Anolis sagrei: one gene and its partners. The protein of the gene in region 2 interacts with the protein of the main gene of each other region in a pairwise test. Links are inferred from orthologs where the notes say so. Each region holds a gene or a part of one and is shown on either strand. Other genes may lie near its edges.

Evidence for each region.
Region 1: the proteins of prenylated Rab acceptor protein 1 (region 2) and SNX15 interact in binary tests that used the Homo sapiens proteins (3 or more experiments, as listed by UniProt). The two-hybrid records come from large-scale screens. The link is inferred for Anolis sagrei from reciprocal best matches to the Homo sapiens genes RABAC1 and SNX15.
Region 3: the proteins of prenylated Rab acceptor protein 1 (region 2) and DUSP12 interact in binary tests that used the Homo sapiens proteins (3 or more experiments, as listed by UniProt). The two-hybrid records come from large-scale screens. The link is inferred for Anolis sagrei from reciprocal best matches to the Homo sapiens genes RABAC1 and DUSP12.
Region 4: the proteins of prenylated Rab acceptor protein 1 (region 2) and NIF3L1 interact in binary tests that used the Homo sapiens proteins (3 or more experiments, as listed by UniProt). The two-hybrid records come from large-scale screens. The link is inferred for Anolis sagrei from reciprocal best matches to the Homo sapiens genes RABAC1 and NIF3L1.

The regions. Positions count from the first base shown.
Region 1 is NC_090032.1:21,597,112-21,604,875, reverse strand, and holds the start of SNX15 (sorting nexin-15), read left to right. Parts: upstream 1-4,689; 5' UTR 4,690-4,757; coding exon 4,758-4,856; intron 4,857-7,764. UniProt on the Homo sapiens protein: May be involved in several stages of intracellular trafficking. Overexpression of SNX15 disrupts the normal trafficking of proteins from the plasma membrane to recycling endosomes or the TGN.
Region 2 is NC_090035.1:83,784,893-83,792,101, reverse strand, and holds the start of prenylated Rab acceptor protein 1, read right to left. Parts: upstream 3,172-7,209; 5' UTR 3,067-3,171; intron 2,930-3,066; exon of another isoform or gene 2,873-2,929; intron 589-2,872; 5' UTR 578-588; coding exon 498-577; intron 1-497. Other genes in the region: cornifelin homolog, read right to left, coding at 5,272-5,361. UniProt on the Homo sapiens protein: General Rab protein regulator required for vesicle formation from the Golgi complex. May control vesicle docking and fusion by mediating the action of Rab GTPases to the SNARE complexes.
Region 3 is NC_090022.1:199,090,969-199,097,958, reverse strand, and holds the start of DUSP12 (dual specificity protein phosphatase 12), read right to left. Parts: upstream 3,087-6,990; 5' UTR 3,060-3,086; coding exon 2,584-3,059; intron 1-2,583. Other genes in the region: GDAP2 (ganglioside-induced differentiation-associated protein 2), read right to left, coding at 5,215-5,259. UniProt on the Homo sapiens protein: Dual specificity phosphatase; can dephosphorylate both phosphotyrosine and phosphoserine or phosphothreonine residues. Can dephosphorylate glucokinase (in vitro).
Region 4 is NC_090021.1:176,902,561-176,910,431, reverse strand, and holds the start of NIF3L1 (NIF3-like protein 1), read right to left. Parts: upstream 3,078-7,871; 5' UTR 2,972-3,077; intron 1,739-2,971; 5' UTR 1,731-1,738; coding exon 1,295-1,730; intron 1-1,294. Other genes in the region: PPIL3 (peptidyl-prolyl cis-trans isomerase-like 3), read left to right, coding at 5,322-5,324. UniProt on the Homo sapiens protein: May function as a transcriptional corepressor through its interaction with COPS2, negatively regulating the expression of genes involved in neuronal differentiation.

The DNA of each region.
Region 1 (7,764 bases), on a different chromosome or scaffold from region 2:
AGCTGGCCCTGACTGTTTCCTGTCTGGATGCCATTAGCCACAGATGCAGGCGAAAGGTCAGTAGGTAATGCTACAAAGCACCCCTGACAGGTGGCATTGAATATATTTTTGCAGCTACAAAGCCTGGCTGCTCCCTGCCTGGGAGAAAGTGTTAGCTGGCTCTGATTGTTTCTTGTCTGGATGCCATTAGGCACAGATGCAGGCGAAAGGTCAGGAGAGAATGCTTCTGGAAGGTGGCCAGGCAGCCTGGGAATGTCGCAGCCCCCCAGCCTGAAAGTCTACGGTGATTGGGATTCCTCCAGAGGGGGAGAAGGGAGGGAAGGCCGAGCAGGGCGGGCAGGGCCTACTTTTCCCCCTTCCCTCCCCGGCCCTCCTCCCCTTGGTCTCCCCGGGAGGCCCCTTCCCTCTCCGCCGGCCCTTCCTTCCTCCCTTCCCGGCCCGCTCCCCTTCCCGGCCCCGCCAGGCCTCCCTCCCGGGCTCACTCTCTCCTCCTCAGGGCCACCCGCGCCGCCATCTTGGATCCATCCGGGCACTTGACTCCGCCCTCCCTCCTTCCCCCCGCCTCCCTTCGCTGGAGGAACATCCGGGCACTTCACTTGACTCCGCCCTCCCTCTGGAGACTCTCTGGAGCGGCGCCGCATCCTGGGACTTTTTTTCGCAGCAGGCCGGAAGTGACGACGACGGGAAAGACCGTGGCGCTACATCCGGGGATTGTTTTGCCTAGGAAGCCGGAAGTGCCGACCAGAGAGTCATAGAATCATAGAATACTAGAATCCAAGAGTTGGAAGAGACCTCCTGGGCCATCCAGTCCAACCCCATTCTGCCAAGAAGCAGGAATATTGCATTCAAAGCACCCCTGACAGATGGCCATCCAGCCTCTGGTTATAAGCCTCCAAAGAAGGAGCCTCCACCACACTCCAGTGCAGAGAGTTCCACTGCTGAACGGCTCTCAGTCATGGGCCATCATCCAGCCCAACCCCATTCTGCCAAGAAGCAGGAATGTTGCATTCAAATCACCCCTGACAGATGGCCATCCAGCCTCTGTTTAGAAGCTTCCAAAGAAGGAGCCTCCACCACACTCCCTCCGGGGCAGAGAGTTCCACTGCTGAACGGCTCTCACAGTCATGGGCCATCCTCCAGTCCAACCCCATTCTGCCAAGAAGCAGGAATGTTGCATTCAAATCACCCCTGACAGATGGCCATCCAGCCTCTGTTTAAAAGCTTCCAAAGAAGGAGCCTCCACCACGTTCCGGGGCAGAGAGTTCCACTGCTGAACGGCTCTCACAGTCATGGGCCATCCTCCAGTCCAACCCCATTCTGCCAAGAAGCAGGAAAATTGCATTCAAATCACCCCTGACAGATGGCCATCCAGCCTCTGTTTCAAAACTTCCAAAGAAGGAGCCTCCACCACACTCCGGGGCAGAGAGTTCCACTGCTGAACGGCTCTCACAGTCATGGGCCATCCTCCAGTCCAACCCCATTCTGCCAAGAAGCAGGAATGTTGCATTCAAATCACCCCTGACAGATGGCCATCCAGCCTCTGTTTAGAAGCTTCCAAAGAAGGAGCCTCCACCACACTCCCTCCGGGGCAGAGAGTTCCACTGCTGAACGGCTCTCACAGTCATGGGCCATCCTCCAGTCCAACCCCATTCTGCCAAGAAGCAGGAATGTTGCATTCAAATCACCCCTGACAGATGGCCATCCAGCCTCTGTTTAAAAGCTTCCAAAGAAGGAGCCTCCACCACGTTCCGGGGCAGAGAGTTCCACTGCTGAACGGCTCTCACAGTCATGGGCCATCCTCCAGTCCAACCCCATTCTGCCAAGAAGCAGGAAAATTGCATTCAAATCACCCCTGACAGATGGCCATCCAGCCTCTGTTTCAAAACTTCCAAAGAAGGAGCCTCCACCACACTCCGGGGCAGAGAGTTCCACTGCTGAACGGCTCTCACAGTCATGGGCCATCCTCCAGTCCAACCCCATTCTGCCAAGAAGCAGGAATATTGCATTCAAATCACCCCTGACAGATGGCCGTCCAGCCTCTGTTTCAAAGCTTCCAAAGAAGGAGCCTCCACCACACTCCGGGGCAGAGAGTTCCACTGCTGAACGGCTCTCACAGTCATGGGCCATCATCCAGTCCAACCCCATTCTGCCAAGAAGCAGGAATATTGCATTCAAATCACCCCTGACAGATGCCCATCCAGCCTCTGTTTAAAAGCTTCCAAAGAAGGAGCCTCCACCACACTCCAGGGCAGAGAGTTCCACTGCTGAACGGCTGTCACAGTCAGGAAGTTCTTCCTCATGTTCAGATGGAATCTCCTCTCTTGTAGTTTGAAGGAATTGTTCCCTTGCGTCCTAGTCTCCAAGGAAGCAGAAAACAAGCTTGGTCCCTCCTCCTCCCTGTGGCTTCCTCTCACATATTTATACATGGCTATCATGCCTCCTCTCAGCCTTCTCGTCTTCAGGCTAAACATGCCCAACTCCTTTAGCCGCTCCTCATAGGGCTTGTTCTCCACACCCTTGATCATTTTAGTCGCTCTCCTCTGGACACATTCCAATCTAGTATGGCTACAGTAAATCCAATGATTTACTAATTTCTACATCTGTAAATTGGGAAAAAAATATAATACATACCATTAGAAAATGCGTTACTTGGTTAGTAGAGAAGTAAGTTGGTCTTGCACTGATGGAAGTTGCACCACATCAGCTGTCCAAATTTATAAATGGCCCTATTTATACAGTTATGCATTTTCTAAGAGGTCTATTCTTAAAATCCAAAATCTAACAATGACTATTTTTAATATTTATCCTTACCAAACTAACCTGAGCAACATCATGGAGTTTTCATAAAAAAACAGAATGGGAGCATTCATTACAAAAAAGCAAATACTGAGTATTTTTCTAAGACGTGATTGATTGACAGTACCGCAAATAGGGGAGGGGTGATTGATTGGAGCCAACGTGATTGATTGACAGTTCTGCAACAGGGGAGGGGTCTGTGTGCCCAGTGTGGTCCTGGTCCGTCATTGGTGTGGGTCGCAGTGGTCTGTGGGAGCCAACGCGATTGATTGACAGTATTGCAAATAGGTGAGCAGTGATTGATTGGAGCCAACCTGATTGATTGACATTACTGCAAATAGGGGAGGGGTCTGTGTGCCCAGTGTGGTCCTGGTCCATCATTGGTGGGGGTCGCAGTGGTGCAAGATACTCCACTTTGGCAGGAAAAACGAAATGCAAAGATACAGAATGGGGGACAATGCCTGGCTTGAGAGCAGTACGTGTGAAAATGATCTTGGAGTCCTCGTGGACAACAAGTTAAACATGAGCCAGGAATGTGATGTGGTGGCAAAAAAAGCCAATGGGATTTTGGCCTCCATCAATAGGAGCATAGTGTCTAGATCCAGGGAAGTCATGCTCCCCATGCTCTATTCCGCTTTGGTTAGACCACTTTACCTGGAATATTGTGTCCAGTTCTGGGCACCACAATTCAAGAGAGATATTGACCCTAAGCTGGAATGTGTCCAGAGGAGAGCGACTAAAATGATCCAGGGTCTGGAGAACAAGCCCTATGAGGAGCGGCTTAAGGAGCTGGGCATGTTTAGCCTGAAGAAGAGAAGGCTGAGAGGAGATATGATAGCCATGTATAAATATGTGAGAGGAAGCCACAGGGAGGAGGAGGGAGCAAGCTTGTTTTCTGCTTCCCTGGAGACTAGGACGCAAAGGAACAATGGCTTCAAACTACAAGAGAGAAGATTCCATCTGAACATGAGGAAGAACTTCCTGACTGTGAGAGCCGTTCAGCAGTGGAACTCTCTGCCCCGGAGGGAGTGTGGTGGAGGCTCCTTCTTTGGAAGCTTTTAAGCAGAGGCTGGATGGCCATCTGTCAGGGGTGATTTGAATGCAATATTCCTGCTTCTTGGCAGAATGGGGTTGGACTGGATGGCCCATGAGGTCTCTTCCAACTCTACACCATCCAAGCTGTTCAGCAGTGGAACTCTCTGCCCCGGAGTGTGGTGGAGGCTCCTTCTTTGGAAGCTTTTAAGCAGAGGCTGGATGGCCATCTGTCAGGGGTGATTTGAATGCAATATTCCTGCTTCTTGGCAGAATGGGGTTGGACTGGATGGCCCATGAGGTCTCTTCCAACTCTACACCATCCAAGCTGTTCAGCAGTGGAACTCTCTGCCCCGGAGTGTGGTGGAGGCTCCTTCTTTGGAAGCTTTGAAACAGAGGCTGGGTGGCCATCTGTCAGGGGTGATTTGAATGCAATATTCCTGCTTCTTGGCAGAATAGGGTTGGACTGGATGGCCCAGGAGGTCTCTTCCAACTCTTTGATTCTATGATTCTATGGTTCTATGGTCTGTGGGAGCCAACGTGATTGATTGACAGTACTGCAAATATTATTATTATTAGTATTGGAAGTAATAATAATTGGGGATAAATAAATAAATAGGGGAGGGGTCTTTTTTTCTTCTTTTTTTCCCCTCTTCCAGCTCTTTTTTTCCCTCTTATTATTTACTTATTAATAAAATAATAAATTCCTAGTAAAAAATTGTCAATAGTTTCTATTTATTTATTTTTTTCTGCTTGGACCAGGTTTTGCCTTTTGTAGAGGAGCCCTTATTGACCTATTGGCGTTTGCACTTTGCAGACGCTCCCTAGCCCTGTCTCCAGCCAGGAGAGGCAGGCGCGCGCAGGCGCAGTGGAGCCCTCCCTTGGCTCCAACGGGGAGGTCCCAGATTTAAAGGGGCCGCGTCACGGAAATGTCCCGCCGGGCCAAAGAGGAGTACCAGCGTTTCTACACGGTCACCGAGCCCCGCGGCCACCCCAAGGGACACACCGAGTACAAAGTCACCGCCAAGGTGGAGAGGGGGGCCTTGAAACGCACATAGACCCCAATTAAGGGTGCCTCTGAGCATGTGCAGAGACCCTTGCATTGCAATTAAAGGCTGGCTGAAAGCAATGAATAGGGAAATGCAAATTATTATTTTTGAAAGCTTATTATCATTATTATTATTGCCTCTGAGCATGTGCAGAGTGTCCCATTGCAGAAATGATAGAGCTAGGTAAAGGGAGTGATTATTATTATTATTATTATTATTATTATTATCATTGCCTCTGAGCATGTGCAAAGTGTCCCATTGCATCAATAATAGATCTGGGTAAAGGGAGTGAATATTATTGTTGTTGTTGTTGTTGCTGCCTCTGAGCATGTGCAGAGTGTCCCATTGCAGGAATGATACATCTAGGTAAAGGGAATGATTATTATTATTGTTGTTGTTGTTGTTATTATTGCCTCTGAGCATGTGCAGAGTGTCCCATTGCAGAAATGATAGATCTGGGTAGAGGGAGTGAATATTGTTGTTGTTGTTGCCTCTGAGCATGTGCAGAGTGTCTGCTTGCATAGATCTGAGTAAAGGGAATGAATAGGGAAAAGCACATTATTATTGTTGTTGTTGCTGTTGTTGACCCAAAGCTGTTCATTATTATTGTTGTTATTACTATTACTATTATTATTGTTGTTGTTATTATCATTGCCTCTGAGCATGTGCAGAGTGTCCCATTGCAGGAATGATAGATCTGGGGAAAGGGAGTGAGTATTGTTGTTGTTGTTGTTGCCTCTGAGCACGTGCAGAGTGTCTGCTTGCATAGATCTGGGTAAAGGGAATGAACAGGGAAAAGCACATTATTATTGTTGCTGTTGTTGTTGACCCAAAGCTGCTCATTATTATTGTGGTTATTACTATTACTATTGTTGTTGTTGTTGTTGCCTCTGAGCATGTGCAGAGTGTCTGATTGCATAGATCTGGGTAAAGGGAATGAATAGGGAAAAGCACATTATTCTTGTTGTTGTTGCTGTTGTTGACCCAAAGCTGCTCATTATTATTGTGGTTATTACTATTACTATTATTATTGTTGTTGTTGTTGTTGCCTCTGAGCATGTGCAGAGTGTCTGATTGCATAGATCTGTGTAAAGGGAATGAATAGGGAAAAGCACATTATTATTGTTGTTGCTGTTGTTGTTGACCCAAAGCTGCTCATTATTATTGTGGTTATTACTATTGTTGTTGTTGTTGTTGTTGTTGCCTCTGAGTATGTGCAGAGTGTCTGATTGCATAGATCTGTGTAAAGGGAATGAATAGGGAAAAGCACATTATTATTATTGTTGTTGTTGTTGTTGACCGAAAGCTGCTCATTATTATTGTGGTTATTACTATTACTGTTGTTGTTGTTGCCTCTGAGCATGTGCAGAGTGTCTGATTGCATAGATCTGGGTAAAGGGAATGAATAGGGAAAAGCACATTATTATTGTTGTTGTTGCTGTTGTTGTTGACCCATAGCTGGTCATTATTATTGTGGTTATTACTATTACTATTGTTGTTGTTGCCTCTGAGCATGTGCAGAGTGTCGGCTTGCATAGATCTGGGTAAAGGGAATGAATAGGGAAAAGCACATTATTATTATTGTTGTTGCTGTTGTTGTTGACCCAAAGCTGCTCATTATTATTGTGGTTATTACTATTACTATTATTGTTGTTATTATTATTGCCTCTGAGCATGTGCAGAGTGTCCCATTGCAGGAATGATAGATCTGGGGAAAGGGAGTGAGTATTGTTGTTGTTGTTGTTGCCTCTGAGCACGTGCAGAGTGTCGGATTGCATAGATCTGGGTAAAGGGAATGAATAGGGAAAAGCACATTATTATTATTGTTGTTGCTGTTGTTGTTGACCCATAGCTGCTCATTATTATTGTGGTTATTACTATTACTGTTGTTGTTGTTGTTGCCTCTGAGCATGTGCAGAGTGTCTGCTTGCATCGATCTGGGTAAAGGGAATGAATAGGGAAAAGCACATTATTATTGTTGTTGTTGTTGTTGACCCAAAGCTGCTCATTATTATTGTGGTTATTACTATTACTGTTATTGTTGTTGTTGTTGTTGCCTCTGAGCATGTGCAGAGTGTCTGATTGCATAGATCTGGGTAAAGGGAATGAATAGGGAAAAGCACATTATTATTGTTGCTGTTGTTGTTGACCCAAAGCTGCTCATTATTATTGTGGTTATTACTATTACTATTGTTGTTGTTGTTGTTGTTGTTGCCTCTGAGCATGTGCAGAGTGTCTGATTGCATAAAGGATAGATATGGGTCCTATCAGATGGCTTAAGGGAATTATTAATATCAAGGGAACGACTAGTAATAGTATCTATTAGTAATAATATCGATACCAAAGGGGCTTCTCGTTATCATTATTATTGCCTCTGAGCATGTGCAGAGTCTCAGCTGTATGGGATTAAATACGCAGCAATGGGTGTGATACAGTTTGCATAAATTTTGGCGCTGTGTAGAGTGAAATAAATTGGAATAATACTAATACTACTAATAATAATTATTATTATTATTTATTTATTTAAAAATTAAATTTAAAAAGTTAAATTAATTAAATTAACAAAAATAAAATATGGGTTTGATCCAGTTTGTGCAAAACAAGGAAAGCATAAATTTTGGCGCTGTATAGAGCGAAATAAATTGGAATAAATCAAATAATAATAATTATTATAATAATAGTAATAATAATTATTATTATTATTAAATAAATTGGAATAAATCAAATAATAATAATAATAATAGTAATAATAATAATAATAATAATTAAATAAATTGGAATAAATCAAATAATAATAATAATAGTAATAATAATTATTATTATATTATAATTTTAAAAATTAAATTACATTTAAAAATAAATTAAAAATTAATTTAATTTAATTTTT
Region 2 (7,209 bases):
ACCTGATACGTCCAAATTTGAATAATGGTGGGGTCGGGGGCTGGATTGATTTTTATCATTTGGGAGGTGTAGTTGCTGGGATTTATAGTTCACCTGCAATCAAAGAGCATTCTGAACCCCACAAATGATAGAATTGGGCCAAACTTCCCACACAGAATCCCGATGCCCACCAGAAAATATTGTGTTTTCTGATGGTCTTTGGCGACCCCTCTGACACCCCCTCATGACCCCCTCAGGGATCCCGACCCCCAGGTTGAGAAACACTGACGTAGTGCATCTTTGGGAGCTGAAATTAATATAATACGCTGTCTTATTTTTGGGGAAACAGGGTATCTATCTATCTATCTATCTATCTATCTATCTATCTTTTTATCTATCTATCAACAGGTGCAGGAAGTGCCCCATAAATGATTTCTGGGCCTAAAAGCATCCTTTCCCCCAAATGATGGTATGTGGAAGGATGGATGCATCATGTCATAATATTCCTTGACCCTTACTTGGTGCCCAGCACTGTCCCGGCCGTCTCCATCTCCGTGGCCGGATTGAAGAGATGCTCCGGACTGGTTTTGCTCGCCATTCTGATCCCGTCTGTAGGACAAAAAGAGAGTAAAGTTAGTATTTATTTTATATACTAGCCATCCCCTGCCACATGTTGCTGTGGCCCAGTCTGTATATATGTGTTTGTATATCCGTGTATATGTGGTTCTGCGGATGCATTGTAATGTATTGTTTTTTGCTTTTTAAGTCCCTTCTGTTGTGTTTTTCAGTGTTTTTCTGAGTGATGGTCGCTCGTTGGCCTGATAAGTGTATTGTGTCCAAATTTGGTGTCCATTCATCCAGTGGTTTTTGAGTTATGTTAATGTGTGTGCATATTTACCTATATATGTGTGTATATATCAATATATGTGTATGTGCAATATATATTTAAAACATTTATATTCTGCCCTTTACACCTCAACTTAGGGGACTCAGGGCAGAGCACAACATATATACGGCAAACATTCAATGCCAGGACATAAAACCATAAATATATACAAAAATTAAAATCACTTATATTCACATTAAAGGTTGCTTAAAAGCCATCTTACATGTGAATATATCTACCTATATATATGTTTATCTACACATATGTGTAAGTATGTCTCCAGTATGCTGATGACAACGTCGTATGTGCGCATTCAGAAGAAGATCTACAAGCCACTCTAACTAAACACCTTTGCAGAAGCATACGAGAAGCTCGGCCTGTCACTGAACATCGAGAAAACCAAAGTGCTGTTCCAGCAGTCACCAGCCACCCCCTCCCCAATGCCAGAGATACAGTTTCATTAGAAAATGTGGACCATTTCCGCTCCCTTGGCAGCCACCTCTCCACCAAAGTCAACATCGACACAGAAATACAACACCGCCTGAACTCTGCAAGTGCAGCATTTTTCTAAGTGCAGCATTTTTCTGAGACATCCGTAGGGATACCAAGGTGCTTGTTGATAAAGCTATTGTCCTCCAAACCCTGCTTTACGCCTGCAAAACATGGACTGTCTACAGATGTCACATGCAACTCCTGGAACGATTCCATCACCGCTGCCTTCGGAAAATCCTGCAAATCTCCTGGGAAGACAGGCAGGGAAATGTCAACATGCTGGAAGAAGAAGCAAAGACCACCAGCATTGAAGCGATAGTCCTCCGCCATCAACTCCACTGGACCAGCCACGTTGTCTGGATGCCCAACCACCATCTCCCAAAGCAGTTACTCTACTCCGAATTCAAGAACGGAAAACGGAATGTTGGAGGACAGGAAAAGAGATTGAAAGATGGGCTCAAAGCCAACCTACAAACCTCTGGCATAGACACTGAGAACTGGGAAGCCCTGGCCCTTGAGCGCTCCAGCTGGAGATCGGCTGTGACCAGCAGTGCTGCAGAATTTGAAGAGGCACAAATGGAGAGTGAAAGAGAGAAACGTGCCAGGAGGAAGGCGTGTCAAGCCAACCCCGACCGAGACCGCCTTCCACCTGGAAACCAATGCCCTCACTGAGGGAGAAGATGCGGGTCAAGAATAGGGCTCCACAGCCACATACGGACCCACAAGAACACTGGAAGACAATCCTCCTCGGAAAACGAGGGATCACCTAACCGCAACAGTAGTAAGTATGTCTATATTCAATATATATGTGTATGTGCATACATGTGTATGTGTATAGATCTGGGGCATTCAATGTACATGTGTGTATGTATATCAATATGTGTGTGTATATATCTACCTATATATATGTACGTTTATCTGTATATGTGTGTGTAACTATATATTCAATATATATGTGTGTGTGTGCATATGTGTGTGAGGGTGTGTAGGTCTGGGGTATTCAATGTACATGTATGTATATCAATGTGTGTGTGTGTATATATCTACCTATATATATGTATGTTTATCCGTATATGTGTGTGTAAGTATATATTCAATATATATGTGTGTGTGCATATGTGTGTGAGGGTGTGTAGGTCTGGGGTATTCAATGTACATGTATGTATATCAATGTGTGTGTGTATATATATCTACCTATATATATGTATGTTTATCCATATATGTGTGTGTAACTATATATTCAATATATATGTGTGTGTGCATATGTGTGTGTGTGTAGGTCTGGGGCATTCAATGTACATGTGTATATGTATATGTGTGTGCGTATATATATATATGGTTGGGGTCATTCAATGGACATACAGACAGGAACAAGGACAAGAGGGAGATAGTGAGAGAGAGAGAGATGCCTGGGGCATGCAATGTACCTGTGTGTATGTATATCTCTATAGCTAGATCTCTATGGCATGTACAATGTACAGACAGAGCTATAGGGGCAAGGCTTTTGGGGCCTACCTTGCAGGGGAGGTTTTCCTGGAGAGAGACCCCCTCCTCCCAAAAAGCCCCTGCCTGCCTTCGCCCAGAAGATGGGGCCCCAAGGCGGGTCCCCACAACAGGAAACCAAGGGCTTCGGGCCTAGTCGTGGCCCTCCAGGATGCTCTGGTTGCCCCTAGCAACCGCCTCCCCCCTCCTCGCGAGGGAGCGCTCACCTGCTTTCTCCTCGGTCCGTCCGGCGGCGCCAAGCCTGCGTGGCAACCCGGAGGGGGCGGGGCTAAAGTGACACCGCCTCCCCTGGCCGCGGAGCCTGCCGGGAAGTGTAGTCTCGCGCCTCCCTCGCCAAGGAAGACGCAGGCCTGGCTCCAGAGCGGCGCGGACTACCACTCCCAGCAGGCCTGGCTTTCTCCTCAGCCACAGAAGCCTCTCTGGCCTAGAGTTGTGTTGTTTCCCTTTAGGCAATGGAATATTTGCTCCTTTAGGAACTAATTTCCTTATTTATCTTTTCCCTATTTATTTTCCTTTTTCTTCTTCTCTCTTTCTCTTGGAATATTTTATTCCTTCTTCCTGTTATTATTATTATTATTATGGGCATATTTCATTTTCCTATATCATCATTATTATTATTTTCATATTCTTACAATATTAGTAGTCTTATATTAATATATTTCATTTTCCTACATTATTATTATTATTATTACTGGGATATTTCATTTTCCTATATCATTATTATTATTATTATTATTTTCATATTCTTACAATATTAGTGGTATTATATTAGTATATTTCATTTTCCTACATTGTTATTATTATTATTGGTATATTTCATTTTCCAACATTATTACTGTTATATTGACATTATTATTATTATTGGTATATTTCATTTTCCTACATTATTACTGTTATATTGACATTATTATTAGCATTGATATATTTCATTTCCCTACATTACTATTATTATTATTAATTATATACTTCATTTTCTTACATTATTGTTATTATTATTGATATATTTCATTTTCCTACATTATTATTATTAATATTATTATTGATACAGTTAATTTCCCTACATTACTACTACTAATATTATTATTGGCATATTTCATTTTCCTATCTCATTATTATTATTATTATTTTCATATTCTTACAGTATTAGTAGTCTTATATTAATATATTTCATTTTCCTACATTATTATTATTATTACTGGGATATTTCATTTTCCTATATCATTATTATTATTATTATTATTATTATTATTTTCATATTCTTACAATATTAGTGGTATTATATTAGTATATTTCATTTTCCTACATTGTTATTATTATTATTGGTATATTTCATTTTCCAACATTATTACTGTTATATTGGCATTATTATTAGCATTGATATATTTCATTTCCCTACATTACTATTATTATTATTAATTATATATTTCATTTTACTACATTATTATTATTATTGATATATTTCATTTTCCTACATTATTATTATTATTATTATTATTGATACAGTTCATTTCCCTACATTACTACTACTAATATTATTATTGGCATATTTCATTTTCCTACATTATTATTATTATTGGTATATTTCATTTCCTACTTTATTACCGTTATATTGACATTATTATTATATTGATATATTTCATTTTCCTACATTATTATTATTATTATTATTGGTATTTGTATATTTCATTTCCATTATTATTATTATTATTATTATTAGAAACACCACAACATGAGTCCACAGCAGACGCTCCGCTGGCTGTTGTCTTGGATCACACATCGGACCCTTCCCAAGTTTCTAGGACTGTGTGATGTATCGCCGAATAATGTGTGCAGATCCCAGTAAGGTGGCCTTCTGCAGCTGGCAGGTGGTAATCTTGTCAACGCCGATTGTGTTTTAGTGCAGGCCAAGGTCTCGAGGCGCTGCGCCCAGTGTGCCGATCACCACTGGGACCACCTTGACTGGCTTATTATTATTATTATTATTACTATTATTATTTCTAGAACTCAAAGTGGCTTGATATAAAGATCTTAGTATACATTAAAATATACAAAAACACAAACATTAAAATAGAATTAAACACATACAGCACTAAAAAAATCCAGTTAAATAAATAAATAAATAAATAAATAAATAGAAGTCCCAGGATTCCATAGGATGTGAAATCGTAGCACTATATGTGTTAAAGGGACCCCCAAGTTAACTCATTTTATATGTGGATTTCTTACAGGAACCATGGGAGTCATCGTTTGGCCCCACCAGCTCCACATTCATCTCAAATCTTCCCCCAATGAAACAAAAAAGAGGCACAGGTCGGGGAAATTATCTATACCAAGGTATACATTTTATTTATTAAGACTCCTGTTTGTGTGGTGGGAATGTGGTCCTGTGTTCGGATTCCGGCTTCGCGTCCTCAGTTCTTGTTGTTGAGTTCCCTGGAGAGCTGGCAGAGTCCGCAGAGCGGGCAGCAGGACATCACCACCCAGTCCGAACAGATGGAGCCCTGCGGGGAAACATTATTGTTATTATTATCATCATTAATTATGAATTATATCCTTGTTTCCTCTCTTAAAAAAGACTCAAAGCAGAATGTTGTGGTTGTTGTTGTTGTTGTTGTCACAGATGTGGACAGCCCTCTGTCAGGATGAATCGAGTGGTGTATTCCTAGCAGTTGGACTGGGTGGCCCTTGAGGGTCTCTTTCAACTCTAGGATTCAATTATGTATCTAGCATCTTATCCCTCTTCTATATGAGATCTACGGCAATCTGGCTTTGGCTGAATGGCCCTCTGTAAAAAGGGATCGGATGAGGGTCTCTTTCAACTCTAGGATTCAATTATATATCTAGCATCTTATCTAACTATATGATATCTATGGCCATTTGGCTTTGGCTGAATGGCCCTCTGTAAAGAGGGATTGGATGGGGTCTTCCTGCCAGACAGAATGGGGTTGGACCAGATCCCCCTTTGGGGTCCCTTCCAAATCTGGGATTCTATGGAGGTCTTCAACACAGGATGGATGGGCATCTGTTGGGAGGGATCAAATGATGCACCTTATTATTAGATGCATCTTGGGGTCCCTTCCAACTCTAGGATTCTGTGGTTCTATTATTATCATTATCATCATTATTATTATTATTATCATTATTATTAGATGCACTGTGGGGGTCCCTTATTGCTCAAGCATTCTATGGTTCTATTATTATTATTATTATTATTATTATCATCATCATTATTATTAGATGCACCGTGGGATCCCTTAAAACTCTAGCATTCTATGGTTCTAGTGTTATTATTATTATTATTATTATTATTATTATTATTATTATCATTATTACTAGATGCACTGTGGGGATCCCTTATTACTCAAGCATTCTATGGTTCTATTATTATTATTATTATTATTATTATTATCATCATCATCATCATCATCATCATCATTATTAGATGCACCGTGGGGTCCCTTAAAACTCTAGCATTCTATGGTTCTATTATTATTATTATTATTATTATTATTATTATTATTATTATTAGATGCACTGTGGGGTCCCTTATTACTCTAGCATTCTATCGTTCTATTATCATCATCATCATCATCATCATCATTATTATTAGATGCACCGTGGGGGTTCCTTATTACTCAAGCATTCTGTGGTTCTATTATTATTATCATCATTATTATTGGTACCTCATCACACTAGAGCATCCAGTTGCTCCCTCCTGCAGCATTCTGGGGTTTGTAGTTTAGGGAGGCCCAGGACCTCTCTGGCGCTGTAGTTTAAAGGCCCCTCCCTAAACTACAAACCCCAGAATTCTACAGGAGGGAGCAACCAGAAAGTGGATAGACACTCTAGTGTGATGAGGTCCTAGATGCACCTTGGGGCCCCTTTCAACTCTAGCGTTCTATGGAAGCCTTGAAACACAGGCTGGATGGACATCTGCTGGGAGGGATCAGATGATATACCTTATTATTATTTGCACCTTGGGGTCCCTTCCAACTCCAGCATTCTGTGGTTCTGTTGTTGTTGTTGTTGTTGTTGTTGTTGTTATTATTATTATTATTATTATTATTATTATTATTATTTGCACCTTGGGGCCCCTTCCAACTCTAGCATTCTGTGGTTCTGTTGTTGTTGTTGTTGTTGTTATTATTATTATTATTATTATTTGCACCTTGGGGTCCCTTCCAACTCTAGCATTCTGTGGTTCTGTTGTTGTTGTTGTTGTTATTATTATTATTATTATTATTATTATTTGCACCTTGGGGTCCCTTCCAACTCTAGCATTCTGTGGTTCTGTTGTTGTTGTTGTTGTTATTATTATTATTATTATTATTATTTGCACCTTGGGGTCC
Region 3 (6,990 bases), on a different chromosome or scaffold from region 2:
CCTGTCGGGCCTCAGTCCTGCCGGCACAGTGGTTTAACCCACTGCGTCACCAGGGGCTCCTGTTTTTGAACTGTTTGGCTGGCAGAAGCTGGGGCTAACAGCGGAAGCTCATGCCGTTCCTCAGATTTGAATCTGCAACCTTCTGATGAGCAAGTTCAGCAGCTCAGTGGTTTAACCCACCGTGCTACCGGGAGCTCCTGTTTGAATACCTAAGTCCCAACTGAAATGCAGAATTCAATGTTTACAAAAGAAAAGCAAGTCTGAACCACTACAGACCCACTAAGAAAATCCAACAAAAGCTACATTCAGCAAAAGACAAGAGGGATCCTCTCACCTCTGCGGGAGTCCACCTGTGGACAAGTCTACATAGGGACCACCAAATGCAGCATTGCCCAAACACAAATCAAAGAACATGAAAGGCACTGCAGAGAAGTCAATGGCTCAACCTGAGAAGTCAATGGCTTCTTTGTGTAGTCTGACATGGTGAATGTTAGAGTGGTCCAGCATTTCTGTCTTCTCAAATAATTTGCTGTGTCCAGGTTGGTTCATCAGGTGCTCTGCTATAGCTGACTTCTCTGGTTGAATTCAGTCTTTCATGTTCCTTGATTTGTGTTTGGGTGTTTCATTTGGTGGTCCCTATGTAGACTTGTCCATACGGTAGACTTTTCCCCCCCAATATGTTTTTAATGCAGACACAGGTAGAATAACATCACAATCCATCACCATTTCAAAATACATATCAAATCTTATTTTCTTAGTGTTCTTAACTTTGCCGATTCTACCTTTATCTCCTACTTGTGTCTACCAATTTTACACCCCTCCCCCCACCTTCTGGGAACAGTACTTTCCTGCATTCAAATATTATTTTAATTGAACAATCGTAGAAAGAGAATGGTTCAGTTCTATATATTTTCCTATTTATTTGACTACCCCATTTCAGAATCCAATTCTTCTTGATTTATGATAGACTCCGTTGATAGTTTGTAACTATCTAAAGACCCACTAAGAAAGTCCAACAAATGCTACGTTCAGCAAAGGACAAGAAGGATCCTCTCACCTCTGCAGGAGTCTATCGTATACCATGCAGCTGTGGAAAAGTCTACATAGGGACCACCAAATGCAGCATTGCCCAAACACAAATCAAGGGATATGAAAGGCACTACAGACTACTTCAACCAGAGAAGTCACCCAAAGCAGAGCACCTGATGAACCAACCTGGACACAGCATATTATTTGAGAACACAGAAATGCTGGACCACTCTCACAACCACCATGTCAGACTACACAGAGAAGCCATTCAAATCCACAAGCATGTGGACAATTTCAACAGAAAGGAGGAAACCATGAAAATAAACAAAATCTGGCAACCAGTATTTAAAAAAACCTCTAAAATCAGAACAGTAAATAAAGAGCAACACTCAGAAATCAGGGGAATTCCAGACAAGAATCAATCAGGGCCAGCCAAAACCTCCCAATAAAAGATTCCCCCTTGCAGGAAGCAACCAGGCTTTGAAGCTGCAAGGTTATTCAATGTTAATCAAGGTGATCAATTGCAGCATTCACACTTGCCTCAAACAGGTAAGAGTTGGTTGTTATAGGTTTTTTTGGGCTATATGGCCATGTTCTAGAGCAGGGGTCCTCAAACTAAGACCCGGGGGCCAGATATGGCCCTCCAAGGTCATTTGCTCGGCCTTCGCTTAGGGGCAACCTAAATCTGAAATGACTTGAAAGCACACAACAACAACCCTATCTCATCAGCCAAGAGCATGCCCACACTTCTGACTGAAATAATAATAGGTTTATATGTTAAAATTGTTTTTCATTTTATTTATTGTATTGCTTTAAAATGTTTTTTTGCAGTACAAATAAGATATGTGCAGTGTGCATAGGATTTCATTCTTTATTTTTCAAATTATAATCTGGCCCTCCAACAGTTTGAGAGACTGTGACCTGACCCTCTGTTTAAGAGAATGTTCTAGAGACATTCTCTCGTGACGTTTCGCCTGCATCTATGGCAAGCATCCTCAGAGCTTGTGAGGTCTGAGTTCTTTGTCCCACCCTGGACATTATTCCACAGGTATATAAACCCCACTTGCCTAGTTTCCAACAAAGATCACAACCTTTGAGGATGCCTGCCACAGATGCGGATTTCAATGGCTTCTCTGTGTAGCCTGACATAGTGGTTGTTAGAGTGGTCCAACATTTCTGTGTTCTCAAATGATATGCTGTGTCCAGGTTGGTTCATCAGGTAATCTGCAACAGACCTCACATCTTCTGAGGATGCGTGCCATAGATGTGGGCGTAACGTCAGGAGAGACTGCTTCTGGAACATGGCCATACAGCCCGGAAACCTCACAGCAACCCAGTGGTCCGGCTATGAAAGCCTTCGACAACAGAGAGGCTGGATGGCCATCTGTGCGTGTGTGGGTGTTCCTGCATGGTAAGAGGTTGGCCCTGGGGTTCCCTTCCAACTCTGTGATTGTAGGACAGGCGTGGGCAAACCTCGGAGGAATTAGTCCAAAGCACCTGGAGGGCCGAGGTTTGCCCACGCCTGTCCCAGGACCTGCTTCCCCCCCTCCTCACCACTGCACCAGGAGGGCGCCCTTCTCCTTCCCCCGGACCCTGTCGATGAAGGCGGCGGCCTGGTCCAAGCGGCTCAGCAGGTCGCTGCCGGGCTGGTCGAGGGCCTCCAGGTGCAGCACGTCCTCCAGCCCCACTTCCCCGGGGGGCTCCGAGTCCACAGACAAGAGGGCCGTGACGCCCGCAGGCCTCTCCGCCGCTTTCCCGCTTTTCCCTGCAGGGCCCACGTACAGCCCCGGAAGGACCTCCACCGTCGTCATGGCCTCTGCCGCCTCCTTCTCCCTCGCCTGAGAATGTGGGAAAGCCATGCCTGAAGCCTTCACTTCCGGGTTTGCTTGAGAAAGTGGGAAGGCCCTGACCGAAGTCGTCACTTCCGGTGTATCTTCACAAAGCAGAAGTTGCACCCTCCAGGAGAGTTTAGCAAGACCAAGGGATCCTAGATTGTCTGTCTTTCCTCCACCACGCTGTGTAATTTGCATGATCCCGCCCACTGCCTCTCCCTTAACCCTTTCCTGTTCTTTTCTATGGTACACCTCAAACGCAGAGGAATTGAATTATTCTGACCCTAAAATGTGTCACTTTGATAGCCGCTGCTGTCCAAGACTATTGCCATCATGTCGTGGAGGAGCCACAGGATATTCACAAATTTATCAGGGCACCCATTTTTCAGGAAGATGGTCCACAAACCATTACGGTCCATAATGTCAAATGTCTTTGCAAGAACCTTAAAAATAGGAAGGGGCTGCAAGGACTATGTAATCCAACTCCACTTTGAAAGAATATGCAATTATATAGTTCCTGAAACAATGTAAAAATTCTAATGCCCTGCAAGTAAAATTGTAGACTAATTGAAGAATAAAAGTGGGCAACTGCACAAAGGGCTGCAACCATTTGTTTTCCAATTTCTTTGTGTGTCAGGAGCGACTTGAGAAACTGCAAGTCACTTCTGGTGTGAGAGAATTGGCTGTCTTCAAGGACGTTGCCCAGGGAATGCCCAATGTTTTGATGTTTTACCATTCTTGTGGGAGGCTTCTCTCATGTCCCTGCATTGGGAGCTGGAGCTGACAGAGGGAGCTCATCCACATTCTCCCAGAATACGAACCTGCGACCTGTCGATCTTCAGTTCTGCCAGCACAAGGGTTCAACCCACTGCACCAAATTATTATTAATAATACAAACAAAGTATGGATCGTTGATGTTGCAATCCCAGGTGAGAGCAGGATTGATGAGAAGCAACTGGAAAAGCTGACATGATACGAGGATTTAAAAGATTGAGCTGCAAAGACTCTGGCACAAGCCAGTCAAGGTGGTCCCAGTGGTCATCGGCACACTGGGTGCAGTGCCTAAAGACCTTGGCCTGCACTTGAAAACAATCGGCTCTGACAAAATTACCATCTGTCAGCTGGAAAAGACTCCCCTACTTGGATCTGCATGCATTATTCACCGATACATCACACAGTTCTAGAAACTTGGGAAGTGCCTGACGTGTGATCCAATACAACAGCCAGCAGTGATCTTGTTTGCTGTATACTAATCTTGTTGTATATCAAATAATAATAATAATAATAATAAATAATAATAATAATAATTAATAATTAATAATAATAATAATAGTTTTATCTGCCTCTCCTGGCACAGTGGGCCATGGCATCATATCTTGGTATACCTGATGTTATACAACATAACTTTCAGCTGCTATGTTGGTTACTTTTCTTTTTCTTTCTTTCTTTCTTTCTTTTTTGATGTTTTTGGTGATTTGGAGGATAAGGAGAAGCAGATCACTGCATTTTTGGTAGTTTTGGAAGAGTTTGACTGGGGTTGGGTAAAAAGAAGTCCAATGAAAAATGGGCTGAAGATTATGGGACACTTTTTGAGGAACCCGACGGCTGTGTGTGGCCTGCACTTTGTCCATCCCTATTTTAGAACATACAAACAAATTCATTTTAATACCAGTATTTCATTAATTGTTTTCCCTATACCAGCTAGAAATCACAACAAGGTCAAAGGAAATAAAAACCACAAGAGACATTAGTGATATTTGCTTCAGTTTTACAATTTAGCAGGAAAGCAGCAGCACTCTTGCATCTTTCATCATCCAGCAAAAAAAGGCAGAGCGCCACATTCAAAGCTAAGGAGAATTTACAAAGCTGACATTTATAGTTGTTTTAGAATTTTAAACAGTTCTTTGTCCAATCTGTATATATTTTAACAGTGAATTCCTCTGAATGTAGCAGCAATAATAAAGGATTCAACATGTAAATCTGATATAGCACTGTTGCATGGAAACCGAATCTTCTTCCAAACTGGTCTGAAGTGGCTGGGAGCAGAGAACGCTCACAGTCAGATTAAAGTATGTCCAATGGGTCTTTCGAGAAAGCAGTTTGTGCAATACAAAAATTGTTGTCATATACACCTAGCAACTTTTCTACGTGATACATCTGAAACAGTTCATTTGGATTTAGTTTACTGATTGCTTATATTCTTCCAAATTCCTCCTTGTAAAAAAATAACAGAGGCAGGATTACCCGCCTTCTGATCTCTGAAAATGAATTAGACCACCATGGTGCATATGGGATTGGCATGTAGCATGTCATAGAGAGTTCGGAAACCAAATGGAATGGCAGGGCTGCATAGTCAGAGGTCCGGAGAAGAGGGGTAAGAGTAGTATGATCCATTTTCCTGTAAAGATACAAAAGATGAATTGATGCAGTGTACACATAAAAACAAATAATCCCTAAATGAAAATCTTTTCCACCACAGCCATTCATTAGGTAACAAAATCTGAAATAAATTCTGTTCTTGGTCTGAAAATGTTCTTTCCTGTTTAATTGTGTGGTACTTACTTTGAAAGTAGTTGTTGTATTTTGTTTTTGTGGCTGCCACAAACTATGTTGAATTGGTTGAGAGTCTATGAGATATTTGTTAAATAAAACTATAGCAAAGTGTGCTGCAAGATGTCCCACAAAAACTTTTTTTTTTGCATTTTAATAAACTTTTACCATGTTTTTATGATAGAACGAATTAGGAAATGAAAATTATAACCCAGAAACAAAAATTGTGTTACACAGTGATATCTGATGGGTAGGCAAAGCATGGCTGTGAGCTGTATGTGCTTCCCAGAGCTGTTTTTGTGCCCCCTAAAGCCACCAGGGCTCCAAACATATTTTTGAAAAACTTCTCAAAAAAGATCAGTAACGGTAAAGGTTTCCCCTGACATTAAGTCTAGTTGAGTCTGACTCTGGGGGATGCTGCTCATCTCCATTTCTAAGCTGAAGAGCTGCCATTGTCCGTAGATGCCTCCAAGGTCATGTGGCCGGCACGACTGCATAGAGCACAGTTACCTTCCTGTTGAAGTGGTACCAATTGATCTACTCACATTTGATGTTTTCAAACAGCTAGGTTGGCAGAAGCTGGGGCTAACAGCGGGAGCTCACCCCGCTTCCCAGATTCAAACTGCCAACCTTTCAGTTAGCAAGTTCAACAGCTCACTGGTTTAAGCCACTGCACCTCCAGCGGCCCCGAAAAAGATTATTTTGCTAATAATGACCCACAATGCCCTTGAGGGGTTCAGGAAGGTCCCAAAACATGGTGAGAATGCCATGTCCTCTAGAGCAGTGCTCGTTAAAAATTTCCACTCAGGACCCTTCTTGACCTGATAAAATTTATATGGGTATAAAACCCATATATTTACTGATAACAAATCAGCATTTGCAAGGCTTTTTAAACAGACTAATTTTCCTTTTTATGAAGTACAACTGAAGCATCTTCTGCAGAGTCTACTGTAAACCCTGAACAACAGATTTGCATAAATGTCTAAAACAGCCATTTTATCATTTTATCTTGTCCATTTGGCCTGCCCATTGTGTTCAATTTTCTATTATGCTATTTTGCTTTGTTTATTTTATTTTGCCACTGTATGTACTTTATTGTGATGTAATGTTTGGTGTTGTATTTTGCACTTTATTTTGCTGTATTGTATCTTTGGGCTTGACCTCACGTTAGCTACCCCAAGTCCCCTTCGGGGAGATGGTGGCGGGGTATAAATAATGATGATGATGATTATTATTATTTGAAACACAACAAGATAATCCACAGCGGACAAGATCACTCTGCTGGCTATTGTATTGGGTCACATGTTGGACACTTCCCAATAATAATAATAATAATAATTATTATTATTATTTCTCCCTTACTTCAAATATGAAGCCCCTTGATGAGCAACCTTAAATAAATATTTGATAGGCTTTGAGGTTTTAAATCTTGAGTTAAGTTTTGCCAGTCTGCTACATCAAAAGATATTTAAAAAGTGTCTGTAGTAAATCACTGGCTTAGATAATGTAGTTTAATAAGAAAATATGAAAAAAAAACCTATTTTGGTAAGAAGTACTTTCACACCAACACAAACAGAAT
Region 4 (7,871 bases), on a different chromosome or scaffold from region 2:
ACTCACCTAAACTCTGGTTAATGTTAGCCAGAGTTATGCTTTCAATCAAGTTGATAATTGGTTTTAAAATTCTAGCATAATAATAATAATAATAATAATAATAATAATAATAATAATACAGTCCTAGACGCTTGGGAAGTGTTCGACTTGTGATTTTGTAAAACGAAATCCAGCATATAGATCTCGTTTGCTGTGACATACTGTGCTTTTGTGTCAATAATAATAATAATAGATAGATAGATAGATAAATACACAAGATTAGTATGCAGCAAACAAGATCACTATGCTGGCTTTTGTCACACGTTGGACACTTCCCAAGTGTCTAGGACTGTGTGACGTATCGGCAAATAATGCATGCAGGTCCGAGTTTTGGCCTTTTGCAGCTGACAAGGCAATTTTGTCAGCGTCAATTGTTTTTAAGTGCAGATCACCACTGTTTTTAAGTGCAATCACCACTGGGACCACCTTTACTGGCATGTGCCAGAGTCTTTGTATATTATTATTATTATTATTATTATTATTATTATTATTGAGCCCCTGGTGGCGTAGAGGGTTAAACCCCCTGTGCCGGCTGGATTGAAGACCGACAGGTCGCAGGTTCGAATCCGGGGAGAAGCAGATGAGCTCCCTCTATCAGCTCCAGCTCCTCATGCGGGGACATGAGAGAAGCCTCCCACAAGGATGATAAAACATCAAAAATCATCCGGGCGTCCCCTGGGCAATGTCCTTGCAGACGGCCAATTCTCTCACACCAGAAGCGACTTGCAGTTTCTCAAGTCGCTCCTGACATGACAAAAATAAATAAATAAATATTATCATTATTATTACAATGTTTATTTATACCCCGCTTTCTCTCTCCACAAGGAGACTCAAAGTGGCTTACCATAAGGAAACATGTGTAGCGTTAACTGTAGTGAAGGATGATGTCAAAACAGCTTGTCATGATGAGGACTGTCAGTCAAAGAGAGGGAATTTTGCCTACCATGGGAGGACACACAAGTCAATCACCTAATCTTCATTATGCTTCAAAGAATGGTGTGAACTTACCTTTTCATATATGCCATTGTTTAAACCATGTAATTGGTTTGCTACTCTCAGCTTCCCCTCCACACATAACTTGACACAACCATCTATAAGTAAGCCACTATTTGCGTGACGTGAGCTTGGTGCTGACATGTCAGCTTTCAGCAACAGAAAACAGTAGCATTGAGAGTAAAATTACAATGTAAATGTTTTTAAAAGACAACAGACATCATTGCCAATTCTTGAAAAATTCAGAAAAGGGATGTCTCACCAAGTCCTTTGGCAAGCCAGTTGTTGACTCCATGGGGCACAGCATCGTAGGCTGTATGGGGAGAATAAATGGCAACTCTGTTTTCCAGGGCTTGGATAATGAGACGCTCTTTCCACGTTTTCCACGTTAGGCGTTTGAGTGGCTGAAAAATGGGTGGGTGGTAAGACAGAATAAGATTGGCTTTCTTCTGGAGGGCCTCCTCCATCACTTCCTCGGTCAAGTCGTTGGTCAAAAAGAGGGTGCTGACGGTATGGGGAGGGCTTGGTTCAACCAGGAGCCCCACATTGTCCCAACTCTCAGCCAGCGACAGCGGAGCAAACCCATTGAGGGAAGAAACCAGGACCTTAAGATCCATGAAGGCTCTCAAAGGCACATCAATCCAGGACCGGACACTCAAGAGGCGCTGCGGAGTTGGCTTCAGGTAGGAGAACTGCATGCAGGTGCCTAAAGAACGCCAAAGGCAACGATACAATTAGAAATACTAGGATAAATAGTACATTCTTAGGGCCCTCCTAGACAGGCCCTATATCCCAGGATCTGATCCCAGGTTTTCTACTTTACACTGGATTATATGAGTCTGCACTACCAGATAATCAGAAATCAGGGATAAACAGAAAACTTGGGATCAAACTATGGGATATAGGGCCTGTCTGGAAGGGCCCTACAAAAAACTGGATATTTCACAAATACATCTATATAAATAAAAATATAATGTTCGTTTGTAGGATTAACATAACTCAACAACCACTGGACGAATTGCTGCCAAATTTGGCTACAAGACACCTACTAACCCATGGAGTGACCATGACTCAAAAAAATGATTTTGTCATTTGGGAGTTGTAGTTGCTGGTATTTGTAGTTCACCTACAATCAAAGAGCATTCTGAACTCCAGCAATAATGGAATTGAACCTCTGTGTAGTCTGACATGGTGGTTGTTGGTGTGGTCCAGCATTTCTGTGTTCTCAAATAATATGCTGTGTCCAGGCTGGTTCATCAGGTGCTTTGAGAACACAGAAATGCTGGACCACACCAACAACCACCATGTCAGACTACACAGAGAAGCCATTGAAATCCACAAGCATGGGGACAATTTCAACAGAAAGGAGGAGACCATGAAAATGAATAAAATATGGCTACCAGTATTAAAAAAACTCTAAAATTACAACAGCAAAACAACAGAGAGGAAACAACCAGGCACAGATTAACACCTCCCAGCAAGAGATTTTCCCAGGCTCAGGCAGGCCTTCAAATGCTAATGAAGGTGATCAGTTGAAACATTCACACCTAGCTCCAGCAGACAAGAGTCCTTTGTCTCACCCTGGTCATTCCACAGATATATAAACCCCTTTTTCCTAGTTCCAACAGACCTCACTACCTCTGAGGATGCTTGCCATAGATGCAGGCGAAACGGCAGGAGAGAATGCCTCTAGACCATGGCCATATAGCCCGAAAAAAACCTACAACAACCCTAATCCTTGACAGATGAGCAGATCTGAAAATGTACTGCCTGATCCCATAGCACTGAGCCAGGGCATAAATGTGTGGTCAAACTGCATTCATTCCTCAGTGTAGATCCATCCCAGCAACTTCCCTTCCCAATTTCCTCCCTCCTTCATTTAAAATCCCTTCCTTCCTGGTATTGGGGGGGGGGGGTTGTCTCTGAATGGCCCTCTCACCTCTCTTCCAGCCTGGGATAGACTGGGAGGGCTTCCAGCTGGAGCACGTTTTGAATGCAAGGCGGCCCTCTTCTGCTGGAGAGAGGAAGGGGGCGTGGCCTAGCGGGTGGCAGCGGGGGCGGGGCCTCACCAGGAAGTAGGAGGACGACAACAAGCAAGAGGAAAGGGGCCTTTTGGCGGGAAGAAGGTAAGTAAGCGCCCCATTGGGCCAGGCGCTTCCTGGGAAGCAGGCCCCGCTGTAGTGCAATGGGTGCCGTTTGGTCCCACTGGAACCGCCTCTTCTCAATGCTATGCAGGCCTGGGAGCTGCAGTTTGGCGTGGCATCCAGTACTCTTGGGTGGAGAAGGCGCAAGACCTTGTAAAACTACAACTCCCATGAGCAGCGAGCCATGGGATCAAAAAGCATTCATTCCACAGAGTAGAGGCGCACCCCTGATCTCTTTGCAGGAGTAAAACCTTTCCATGGTCGTTTTGAGTGAGATTTTGTGTGTATGTGTGTGTGTGTGGAGGGGGGGGGGTTGTGTGTTTTAAAATGTATTTCAGTTGAATTCATTATGTGTTTTGAACCAGTTACTTCATGCCTATCAGCCTCCTCCCAGTAGAAGGAGAAAATGGCATTCATAACCATTTGGAGATCATAACTTTTTAGATCTTTTTAGACCTTTCAGAGTAGAGCCAAAAACCCTTTAGAGGAGACCCTTCTCTTGTGGTATGCAACCAGATATAATAATGCAAGGCAATGGTTTCAGTTGTTAGACTGAATAACCTGTTATCTCTGATCTGTTAGGAAAACAGATTTTTCCAGTGCATAAAAAACAGCAGTGCTTCAGAAGTTTTTTTAGTGTCCAAAAATATTTTTTCTCTCCCATAAAAAACTCGTTTTATTTATTGATTTAAAACATTTATTTTCCGCCCTTCTCACCTCAAAGGGGACTCAGGGCGGAGAACAGCATATATACGGCAAACATTCAATGCTGGGACACATACATAAACATTAAAAACATTTATCAAAATATTAAAATACACCATTTAAAACCGTCCTAGTCATCCGCATCAAATCATTGGCCTGGTCATCTTTCCTATTGCCGCTTTATTGCCCTGTCCCGAAAGCTTGGTCCCAGAGTCAAGTTTTTACCATCCTTCTAAAGGACAGGAGAGAGGGGGCCGACCTGATCTCACCAGGAAGGGAGTTCCATAGCCGGGGAACAATCACCGAGAAGGCCCTGTCTCTCGTCTCCACCAATCGTGCCTGTGACAATGGCGGGACGGAAAGCAGGGACTCCCCAGAGGATCTTAATCTCCGTGATGGTTCATAGGGGGAGATGCGTTCGGACAGGTAATTTGGGCCGGGTAATTTGGGCATAACATGGGAGTTGTATGCTCCCTGTATGCCGCCTCAGTTATTAACCTGGCTGCCTCTCATTGGACTATTTGAAGTTTCCGAGCAGTCTTCAAAGGCAACCCCATGTAGAGTGCGTTGCAGTAGTCTATCCTAGATGTAACGAGAGCGTGGACCACTGTGGCCAAGTCTGACTTCCCAAGGTACAGGTGCAGCTGGCGCACAAGTTTTAATTGTGTGAACACTCCCCTGGCCACCGCTGCAACCTGGGATTCCAGGCTCAGTGATTAATATCATGCACTCTAGACAAAAATGAAGTAGAGTTAGTTAAAAATAACATACTTGGTTTATTCACAACTTCATGTATTCAGAATACACATGTACATAACTATCAATGCATGAAAAGCACAATCAAAGTACCCCTGACAGTTCAAATACTCCTATTTGAACTTTTTTTAGCATAGTGGATCTAGACTTTATGTATAAGGTGTATATACTTAGGTCCTGTCTCCAAGATATCTCATTATCTACTTCTGTACATGCAGATATTCTGAAATCCAAAACTCTTCTGGTCCCAATCATTTTGGATAAGAACTCTTTAACCTTGCAAATAGTACATGCCTCTGCCCTTTTAAAATAATGCCAATTCTTCCGGGTTTTTAAAAACCATGCTAATGTTAAATTCAGTTTTAATTGACTTGTTGCAGGAAAAACAGAGCTTTTGGCACCTTAGAAACTGACAGATGCATTATAGCTTTAACATTTTGGATTGCTTTTCATGTCATAATAAATATGCTAATCTTTCTCAACTGTGGGATTCAGTCTGGTCACTCTGCTAAAAACAAAAATAGTACAATCATTCTCATCCAAGTGGTTCCTCCATGCCTTTACTACTAGAGCAATATTGCTTTTAGCATGCAAAGCCACATTTCCACTCATTATAGCTATTTTTTCTGGTTTTTTTGCAGAAACTCTTCAGGTGGCTCTGATTTGAATTCCTTGTCTGCACAGATGGTGAGGCTGGTTGTTTCAATATCTTCTTCCTAACTGCGTGCAAGGTATTCCTTGAGAAACAGGTAGCTGTCTATTTAGAAACACACTATTTTAGAGTATACAGGCAGTCCTCAAGTTACAAACAAGATTCTGTAGGTTTGTTGTTGTTGTTGTTCATTCGTTCAGTCATCTCCGACTCTTCGTGACCTCATGGACCAGCCCACGCCAGAGCTCCCTGTCGGCCGTCACCACCCCCAGCTCCTTCAAGGTCAGTCCAGTCACTTCAAGGATGCCATCAATCCATCTTGCCCTTGGTCGGCCCCTCTTCCTTTTGCCTTCCACTTTCCCCAGCATAATTGTCCTCTCTAGGCTTTCCTGTCTCCTCATGATGTGGCCAAAGTACTTCAACTTTGTCTCTAGTATCCTTCCCTCCAATGAGCAGTCAGGCTTTATTTCCTGGAGGATGGACTGGTTGGATCTTCTCGCAGTCCAAGGCACTCTCAGCACTTTCCTCCAGCACCACAGCTCAAAAGCATCGATCTTCCTTCGCTCAGCCTTCCCTAAGGTCCAGCTCTCACATCCATAGGTTACTACAGGGAAGACCATGGCTTTGACTAGGCGGATCTTTGTTGCCAGTCTGATGTCTCTACTCTTTACTATTTTATCGAGACTGGACATTGCTCTCCTCCCAAGAAGTAAGCGTCTTCTGATTTCCTGGCTACAGTCTGCATCTGCAGTAATCTTTGCACCTAGAAATACAAAGTCTGTCACTTTGTAGGTTTGTTATGAAGTTGAATTTGTATGTTTAATTAGAACAGAAACATTTTTAAGCGTATCTCCATCTACCCCTCCCCCCATATATAAGCTTTGGACAGCATAGGGAAAGGTTAAAACCCCTGTGGCATTTGTTTTGCTGTCTGTGCCCCTATTCAGATTTTGGAAAAAATGTTTTTTTGCGGAAACAGGATTGGTAATAAAACTTCTGTTGAGACACCTTTTTCCCATGATGATGTTGTCAAGCCATGGCACACCCCCTCCAAAAGGTTATGAACAATAAAAAGACCCCAAGCAAGAAATATGATTTTTTCTTTAATTTTAAAACATTTCCCACCCATTCAGAGATTTGCGATATTGAAGCCGCAGAGGATCTAGCTAGAACTGTGTCCCAAACTCTATCAAAGCTTAACCCCTTAATGCAGGGGTCCTCAAACTAAGGCCCGGGGGCCGGATGCGGCCCTCCAAGGTCATTTACCTGGCCCTCGCTCAGGGTCAACCTAAGTTTGAAAAGACTTGAAAGCACACAACAACAACAAATATAACAATCCTATTTCATCAGCCAAAAGCAGACCCACACTTCCCATTGAAATACTAATAACTTTATATTTGTTAAAATTGTCCTTCATTTTAATTATTATATTCTTTTAAAGTGTCTTTTGCACTACAAATAAGATATGTGCAGTGTGCATAGGAATTCATTCATGTTTTTTTCAAATTATAATCCAGCCCTCCAACAGTTTGGGGGACTGTGACCTGGCCCTCTGTTTAAAAAGTTTGAGGACCCCTGCCTTAATGAATGTATAAAAATGCTACTCTCTGTGTAACTTGTATTGCTTATGTACTGTATCAATATCTAAATGTATAAACTTGTATCAAATGTAGCCTGAAGGTATCTGCTGCCCCAATGCCCCCTGTTTGCATAAGCTCCTGGGAACGGAAATTGCTATATAAAACAAGGATCTCCCAAGCCAGATAAAATCCTTTGTGTATGTATGTGAGACAGATGATCTGATCCTTTTGCTACAAAGATATGCTTAGGATGTTTTCCTGTTCAAATGAGGATGGAGGCTGCCATTCTCATGGAAGTGAAAGCTAAACAAATATGAATACATTAATCTTCTGAATAGGCAGCCCAGCCTCTTGTTATTTGGGATTATCATCTTTTGTCCTGTGGGTCTTGCACCTTTGTCTCTCTGGAACTGGACACTTAAGTCAATCAAGATCAAAGAATCATCTGAATACTTATGTCATCCCTTCCCTCAGTTTTGTGCCCTTCCAGCGGGTGTCTCTGCAACAAACTGGACCTTTAAAGTGACCAAACATCAGTTGTTGTTCTTCTTGCTGCCATGGGGATCTCCTCCTCCTGTCAGTGACATCAGGGAAACCCCTGGCCAATCCCTGTGTCAAATCATCCGGGCGTCCCCTGAGCAACGTCCTTGCAGACGGCCAATTCTCTCACACCAGAAGTGACTTGCAGTTTCTCAGGTTGCTCCTGACACGACAAAAAAAAATCCCTGTGTGGATCCTATTCGGCAAGGTTTCTCAGCCAGTCAGGGGGAGGCATAGGAGCTCCCGGGAGTGCAGTGGGTTAAACCCCTGTGCCAGCAGGACTGAAGACCGACAGGTCGCAGGTTCGAATCCGGGGAGAGTGCGGATGAGCTCTCTCTGTCAGCTCCAGCTCCTCATGTGGGGACATGAGAGAAGCCTCCCACAAGGATGATAAAACATCAAAACATCCGGGCGTCCCCTGGGCAACGTCCTTGCAGACGGCCAATTCTCTCACACCAGAAG